Linked DNA regions of Nothobranchius furzeri. The protein of the gene in region 1 purifies or fractionates together with the protein of each later gene. This does not show direct contact. Links are inferred from orthologs where the notes say so. Each region holds a gene or a part of one and is shown on either strand. Other genes may lie near its edges.

Region 1 (3,817 bases):
CCACTTCAGAGGAGCAAAATGAACATGTCAGCGACTTCAGCATCATGTTAGCATGCTACTGAAACGGTTCATCTCTACACTGATCACGTTCTGTGTGCAGGCTTCAGGAAGAGTACCCTCCTTGGTTTGAAAAGCCTGTCCTTGAGATGGTGCACCACAACACAGTGTCCTTAGACAAACTGGTTGAAATGGCCTGGTTGGAAATCCTCACCAAGTATGCCGTGGGTGAAGAGTGTGACTTCCTGGTTTGTATCCCTGCTGGCTTTTCCAAACCTTCCTTTTATGTAGCGGATGTGTTCTACATCCTGTTGTTTTTATTCCTTGGCAGGATCTTTAAAGCAAAACCACCCATGTTTCTCAACTGCCTAACGCAATTAAAGTATTAATGTATAGTTAAACAGGACAAATCTGCACAGCAACAAATGTGTCTTCATCTTTATAAAGTTGATCGTGATTATCCTGTTATCTTTTCATTGAGTTTGAAAAGCAGTCAAATATACATTTTACTGAGAAATTGTAAATTTAAATGCTTGTTTAATTATTTGAGATATTTAAGTTATTATGAAAGTTCAGTTTAGCAAATGTGACAGTTAACCTGCAGAAAATTGAATGAATGATTTAAAAAGAATAATTTAGAAACAGAATTCTGATGGGTCAAGCAGAAACCGAGAGAAACAGGGTAAAACAGGAAATAAAAACAAATAACTTATTTGCCAATTATAAGAACAAAATGATCCCTCACGGACGACCCACCGTTTTCAATCTGGGTCTAAGATTTAACAGCAAGCTTCAAAAGATGTACTCTGCTCTCTCCACCTATTCCACCTTCCTCAGGATCCACTGATTTCCCTCTTTCCTACTCACGCTTTCTTTACATTCTTTAATCACAATTGTCAATATTTTGCTCATTTTAAATATATTTGTAATAGTTTTCTAAATTCTTTTTTATATTTTACATTTTTTATTTCTGTGAAGCGCCTCGTGGTTTTTATCTTGAGAGGCGCTGTAGAAAATATATTTTCTTCTTGTGGCAGGAACATCCTGCTGGCAGATGGAGACGCTCCTCCATTTAAACAAGCAAAATCATGTCGGCCATGTGACTATTAAATGCGAGGTCTCACTTTATGAGCTAGATACCAGCGCCGACGCATCGGTGTTGCTGGACCCATCGCTATTTTTTTTTTTTACATATTACATGTTTTATGTAAAATGAATAAAATTAAAATAAAGCAAAATACAATAACATATTTTATAAATTAATAAACATGTATGTACATATATTTTGTTTTATAAACTAAAATGAAATGAAAACCTAATAAAAGGCTTTTATTTCTCTCCCAAATGATCGACCCCAGGTGGGGAAAGACCAAAGTTTGCGTGTGAAAGTGATGAAGGTTCATCCTTTAGAAAGTCCTGAGACTGAAGCAGGTGAGAAGAAGCTGGAAGGAGCTTGTGACTCCCCATCTAGCGACAAGGAGAACTCCAGCCACGAGAACCAAAGGAAGGAGCCTCCACCCAGAGAGGAGGAGAGCAGGAGGGAGAGTTTAAGTAAGAACCAGCCCACCCTCCCATATCGGCGACCTTGCTGCGTTGATTATAGAATATCATTCTTGCTCCTAGGTGACAGAGCACGGCGCTCTCCAAGGAAATCTACCACCGCTATGAAAGAAGAGAAGAAGAAATGGGTGATGCCCAAATTCCTGCCTCACAAGTACGACGTGAAGCTCATCAATGAGGACAAGGTTTGTTTGTCAGCAGAACTCAGTGTTGTAACCGGATCTGTTTAATGTTATGTACGGCGTGTAGCAGCCCTGCCAAGTTTTTTTATGCTGAATTTGAACATTTTCTTTGTTTTTCTTTCTGCAACAGGTGATCAGCAGTGTCCCTGCAGACAGCCTCTACAGGACAGAGCGTCCTCCAACCAAGGAAATCGTGCGGTACTTCATCAGGCACTATGCTCTGAGGGTGGGTAATGGAGAAAGCGCTCCCTGGGTGGTTGAAGACGAGCTGGTGAAAAAGTTTAGTCTGCCCAGCAAGTTCAGCAGCTTTCTTCTTGATCCGCACAAGGTAATCTAATCCCGACATGTTCTGGCAGCTGTCTGGATATCCGGGGTTCGTGCTTTTGGCTCAGCCTCGTTTTATACTTTTGCTTTTTTGTTTGAAGTTTCTGGCAGAAAATCCCTCCACTAAGCGTAAGAGCGTGACATCCCCCGAAGGCAAATCCAGCAAGAAGGTTAAGACGGGCGACACTCCCGGAGAAGACTCTGGGAATGGGAAGGGAGAGAAGAGGAGGAAAAAGAAGGATTCTCTGAGTGTACCTCTCAGTCCCACCATATGGGGTCATATGCAGGTTAGTCACTGGTTTCCAGATTAAGGCCCTGTCCACACGCTTTTGCCAGAACTCATCTTTTTCCTACCTGTATTATTTCAGAAAATCAAAATGAACGGCTCTCCACTCAAGGTGAAGAACTCTGGAAGTCCAAAGAAAGAAGGAAAGGGATCAGCCCCCTCCACTCCAAAATCTGCCAAGAAGCTGGGCGACAAAAAAGAGGGAAAGAAAAGTGGGAAAAGTGGCGATAAGAAGCTCAACGTCCTCAAAGCCTCCCAGAAAGATGATAAAACTGGTGGTAAGACGCCGAAGATGAAGCAGATGACTCTGCTACATCTGGCTAAGGGCACACCTGCAGGGAGTCCTAAAAAGAGAGCTCGCAGTGGGAGCCTGGGCACTCCCAAACTTGGAAAACCGCTGCCCCCTATGGCTCTGCATCTCCTCCGTTACTACAAGGAGAACAAGGACAAGGAGGATAAGAAGAACCCACTTTCTTCCCTCATATCAAAAGCTGCAAAGGCGTTATCCACTGAGGACCGGGATCGCCTGCCAGAAGAACTGAGAGAGCTGGTAAAGAAGCGTTGGGAGCTCCTGGAACAGAAGAGGCGCTGGGCAGCCATGAGTGATGCAGAAAAGGAGGTGGAGATGAAAAAGAGGCGCGCAGAACTCAAAGAGAAACTGCGAGAAAAGGCCAAGGAGAGGCGAGAGAAGGAGCTGCTCATCCGCCGAGAACAATCGCGTAGATATGAAGATCAAGAGATCGAAGGAGGGAAGACACTGCCCACATTCAAGCTGGTGGACATGCCTGAAGGGATTCCCAACACCCTGTTTGGCAGCGTAGCGATGGTTGTTGAGTTCCTCCACTGCTACGCGGGCCTTTTGATGCCCAATGATCAGTATCCAATCACAGCGTCGTCTCTGATGGAAGCACTGGCAGGAGACCGATGCGGTTTCCTCTACCTGAACCGTGTGCTGGTGGTGCTGCTCCAGACGCTGCTGCAGGACGAGCTGGCCGAAGGCTACGGTGAGCTGGACATGTCCCTGTGGGAGATTCCTCTCACCATGCATTCGGCGTCAGAGCTGGCGCGGTTGTGCCTGAGGCCGTGCGACGCTCACGAAGAGAGCGGCCAGGGATCGGAGAAGTCTGGAGGCGTGGGTGACTTTGATGACGTGGTGAGCAGCGAGTTCCTGGAGAAGCTAGAAACTGTGGAGGTGTTTGAGCTGAGCCCAGAGGAGAAGGTGGAGTTGTTGGTGGCTCTGTGCCACCGCATCCTCATGACTTACTCCGTGGAAGACCACGTCGAGTCAATGCAGCAGCGCTCCGCCGAGCTCTGGAAGGAGCGCCTGGCTGTGCTGAAGGAGGCCAACGACCGCAAGAAAGCTGAGAAGAAGATGCGCAAGGAGATGGAGAGCAAAAGTAAGTGGGCTCAGTTTCAGCTCAGTAGTCAGACGATGGTGTTTCAGCTTTGTTCTCATAACGTGTTATGT
Region 2 (3,689 bases), on another chromosome or scaffold:
CAGTCAGGTATCCGCAGTCTTACTGTCACCCGACAACATTAGAGCATGTCCCCACAAAGGAAGTGACACTAAATCTGTTCTCATGATCTTTGTTTTGCTTTCTTCATCCAGATGAAATTAATGAGGAACTCCTGGATTAGGCCGGCACTTAGTATTGTACACATGCACCCAGAGGGAAGCGTGAAAACGTTGTGGGACAGCCGAGTGGAGGGCTACATCGTCCTGAGGGACCTGGATCTTTACCTCACAAAGCTGGCAAGAGACTTTCTTCTGTTGGCTTCAAAACCGCTCTCATGAGAGGAAAACAGCCAGAAAAAACGGGGAAAAGCTGGAATGTCATAAAACAAGAATGGGAAACACAGTTGGACTAACACAGTTTGGTACTCGGGACTCTGGTATTCTTTTCAGCGGTGATATCAAAACATTTTTTTGGGGTATTTTCCAGTTTCTGTCTCACCTCTAACTGGAAGTCAGAGACAACTCTCAGAGGACATCCCAACATCCTGTTTCCTTTTTTTTTACCACAACTCTAAACTTCTGGACTTTCCGACGAAATATTTACTATTTATTGACTTATTTATTGACATGTTATTTATTTAAAAGTTGTTTGCTTAAGTTATCCAGGAGTAAGGAGATACAGTGTTAGAGAGATTTTTACATTTGTGTGCGTGTCCAACAATAAAGCGATTTCAAAACAAAAGTTTGTTTCACCAGCTTGTAATGTTTAAATAGTTACTGGTAGTTAATAGTTCTTCTTGTGGAGTATATTTTTGCATTCTTTGGTCTGCTTCTGTCTGCTGTACACTGACAAAAACAGTGTGCCTCGGGTGGGAGGATCGATCTGGTTCTCTTCAGGTGGCGGCGATCCGAGGAGCAATCTGAGGAGTCCAGTCAGATTTAAGATAGTCAGCTGGATGAAATGTTTCTCTTTAAAAACAAACAAAACAAAAGCAGCCATGCCTCCTCCCTGCAGACTCCTCACATGACACGAGAACAGTTGCTGACTCACCACGACCAGATGTCCTCGTTTGCCTTTGGCCACCTTCAGCTCCGAACCCCTGATGAAATCAATTATTCCTTCTTTGTTCCGGGCCACAGCGACGCGAATGCTGCGTTCCACAACGGAGGAAACACATCAGGAGATCATGTTGGAAAACTTCACACCCACAAGATGAACCAGGCAGCCCTAGTCTCACCTGCCAGGACTGACGTTCACGTAGCTGGTCTTGCCGGCCAGCATGGATAGTTTAGTCACCAGCTCGATCACGTGGCTGCAGTGTATGACAGCGTCGCCCTGAGGAACACCAGCAGGATTTAAAGTAGCTGTCTGTAGAAAACAGACACGAGTGCCTTGTTCTGCTGTACCTTCTGTTTGTTATCCTCACACGGCACATGCAGAACAACCATCCCATCCATTAGGGAGCTCACTGAGATGCCTGGTTCAAAAGAACAATCTGGTTTGAACTCATTTATCTACACAACACGATCACAACGAAAATAACTTTTCAGCAAGAAAACTGAATCGACTACAGGTTCAAAACCTTCACAAACCGCTCAAAATTTTTCCTGAAGATAACCCGAGGCATAATCAGTTTGGTTGCCATGGATATTTCTGCTGAAAGTAAATTCAAGTACTTTGACTGCTGAAGGTCAAATAATATTAAGTTTGATCACTTGAACGTGACGGGGATGATAATCTGTGCTTGATAAAGCTGTAGCAGCCATCTTGGATTAGAAGAAGTGGAAAATCTGATGATTTCTCTGAGTTTTGTTCAAATTTTCCCAGATTCACAAGATATTATAGTAAAATTCAGACAAATCATCACATTCAATTCAATTCAATTCAATTTTATTTATATAGCGCCAAATCACGACAAGAGTCGTCTCAAGGCACTTCACATAATAAACATTCCAATTCAGGTCAGTTCATTAAGCCAGTGAGAAATAATGTTTCCTAAATAAAGAACCCAGCAAATTGCATCAAGTCACTGACTAGTGCCAGTGACTTTACAGCAATCCTCATACTAAGCAAGCATAAAGCGACAGTGGAGAGGAAAACTCCCTTTTAACAGGAAGAAACCTCCAGAGAATCCTGGCTCAGTATAAGCAGCCATCCACCACGACTCACTGGGGATCGAGAAGACAGAGCAGGCGAACACACACACACACACACACACACACACACACACACACACACACACACACGCACGCACGCACGCACGCACACACACACACTCACACACACACACACACACACACACACACACACACACACACACACACACACACACACACACAAGACAAAGTAATGTGTCTATAGTTATATCGTGATTTCTTAGTAAATATTCTATTTGGTGAGAGATAAACTTTATTGTATTTATCCTAGTGGATATATAATTAAATGGATAAACTACCAGTAGCACATCCAACGTCAAGGAAAGCAAAAAGTTTAAGTGGTTAGTAGCAGTGTGCCAGACGATGGCCCCCTCCATGAGGCCACCACAGCTCAGCAGAACATCATTGTAGCTTCTTCTGGGGAGAAAAACACTTAGAGAGAAAATAAAGTTAACAGCTGAAATTGCAGAAAATAATACAGTTAAAGAACAGATTGTAGAAGAAAGTAGTAGAGTGTGAAAAGTGGTCAGTGTATCCTCCAGCAGTCTAAGCCTATAGCAGCATAACTACAGAGATAACTCTGGATAATCTAGCCTTTTAGATGTAGGCATGTTGGAGGCAGGGCAAGGGAGAGCCGTCTTTACCGACTGTACACTCCACCTCCCTCTACTCCCCCACTTGTCCAGATTTAGGCTAACATCAGATTTTAACCATAGGCCCTATCAAATAAAAATGTTTTAAGCCTAGTCTTAAAAGTAGACAAGATGTCTGCATCACGGACAAGCTGGGAGCTGGTTCCACAGGAGAGGAGCCTGATAACTAAAAGATCTGCCTCCCATCCTAATTTTACATATTCTGGGAACCACCAGTAAACCTGCAGTCTGAGAGCGAAGTGCTCGGTTAGGAACGTATGGAACAATCAGATCACTGATGTATGATGGAGCTTGATTATTAAGAGCTTTATATGTGAGAAGAAGGATCTTAAAATCTATTCTGAATTTAACAGGTAGCCAATGAATGGAAGCTAAGACAGGAGATATATGATCTCTCTTTTTAATTCTCATCAGAACTCTAGCTGCAGCCTTTTAGACAAGCTAAAGACTTTTAACTACATTCTGAGGACTTCCTGAGAGTAATGAATTACAGTAATCCAGTCTTGATGTAATAAATGCATGAACTAGTTTTTCAGCATCACTCCTGGAAAGGATGCTTCTAATCTTAGCAATATTCCGAAGGTGGAAAAAGGAAATATTGCAAACCTGTTTAACCTGGGATTTGAATGACATGTCCTGGTCAAAGATAACACCAAGGTTCCTTACTTTGTTCTCGGAGATTAATGTAATGCCATTCAGGTCAGGTGATTGACTAAGCAATTTCCTTTTCTGGATTTCTGGTCCAAAGATGAGAACTTCAGTCTTTTCTTGATTTAAAAGCAAAAAGTTTAGAGTCATCCAATTTTTTATGTCCTCAAGACAAGCCTGTAATCTACCCAACTGATTAGGTTCATCTGGGTTAATGGATAAATATAACTGAGTATCGTCAGCATAACAGTGGAAGTTTATCCCATGCTTTCT

Evidence for each region.
Region 2: the proteins of baz1b (region 1) and myo1ca purify together in Homo sapiens (affinity purification with western blotting; 3 studies listed by BioGRID, with this or other methods). This does not show direct contact. The link is inferred for Nothobranchius furzeri from reciprocal best matches to the Homo sapiens genes BAZ1B and MYO1C.

Annotation. Positions count from the first base shown.
Region 1 is NC_091753.1:33,343,147-33,346,963, reverse strand, and holds part of baz1b (tyrosine-protein kinase BAZ1B), read left to right. Parts: intron 1-100; coding exon 101-245; intron 246-1,355; coding exon 1,356-1,548; intron 1,549-1,620; coding exon 1,621-1,742; intron 1,743-1,869; coding exon 1,870-2,067; intron 2,068-2,164; coding exon 2,165-2,350; intron 2,351-2,431; coding exon 2,432-3,746; intron 3,747-3,817. UniProt on the Homo sapiens protein: Atypical tyrosine-protein kinase that plays a central role in chromatin remodeling and acts as a transcription regulator. Involved in DNA damage response by phosphorylating 'Tyr-142' of histone H2AX (H2AXY142ph).
Region 2 is NC_091750.1:48,614,746-48,618,434, forward strand, and holds the end of myo1ca (unconventional myosin-Ic), read right to left. Parts: intron 1,437-3,689; coding exon 1,366-1,436; intron 1,295-1,365; coding exon 1,197-1,294; intron 1,110-1,196; coding exon 1,010-1,109; intron 879-1,009; coding exon 852-878; 3' UTR 578-851; downstream 1-577. Other genes in the region: uncharacterized protein, read left to right, coding at 1-7, 112-297.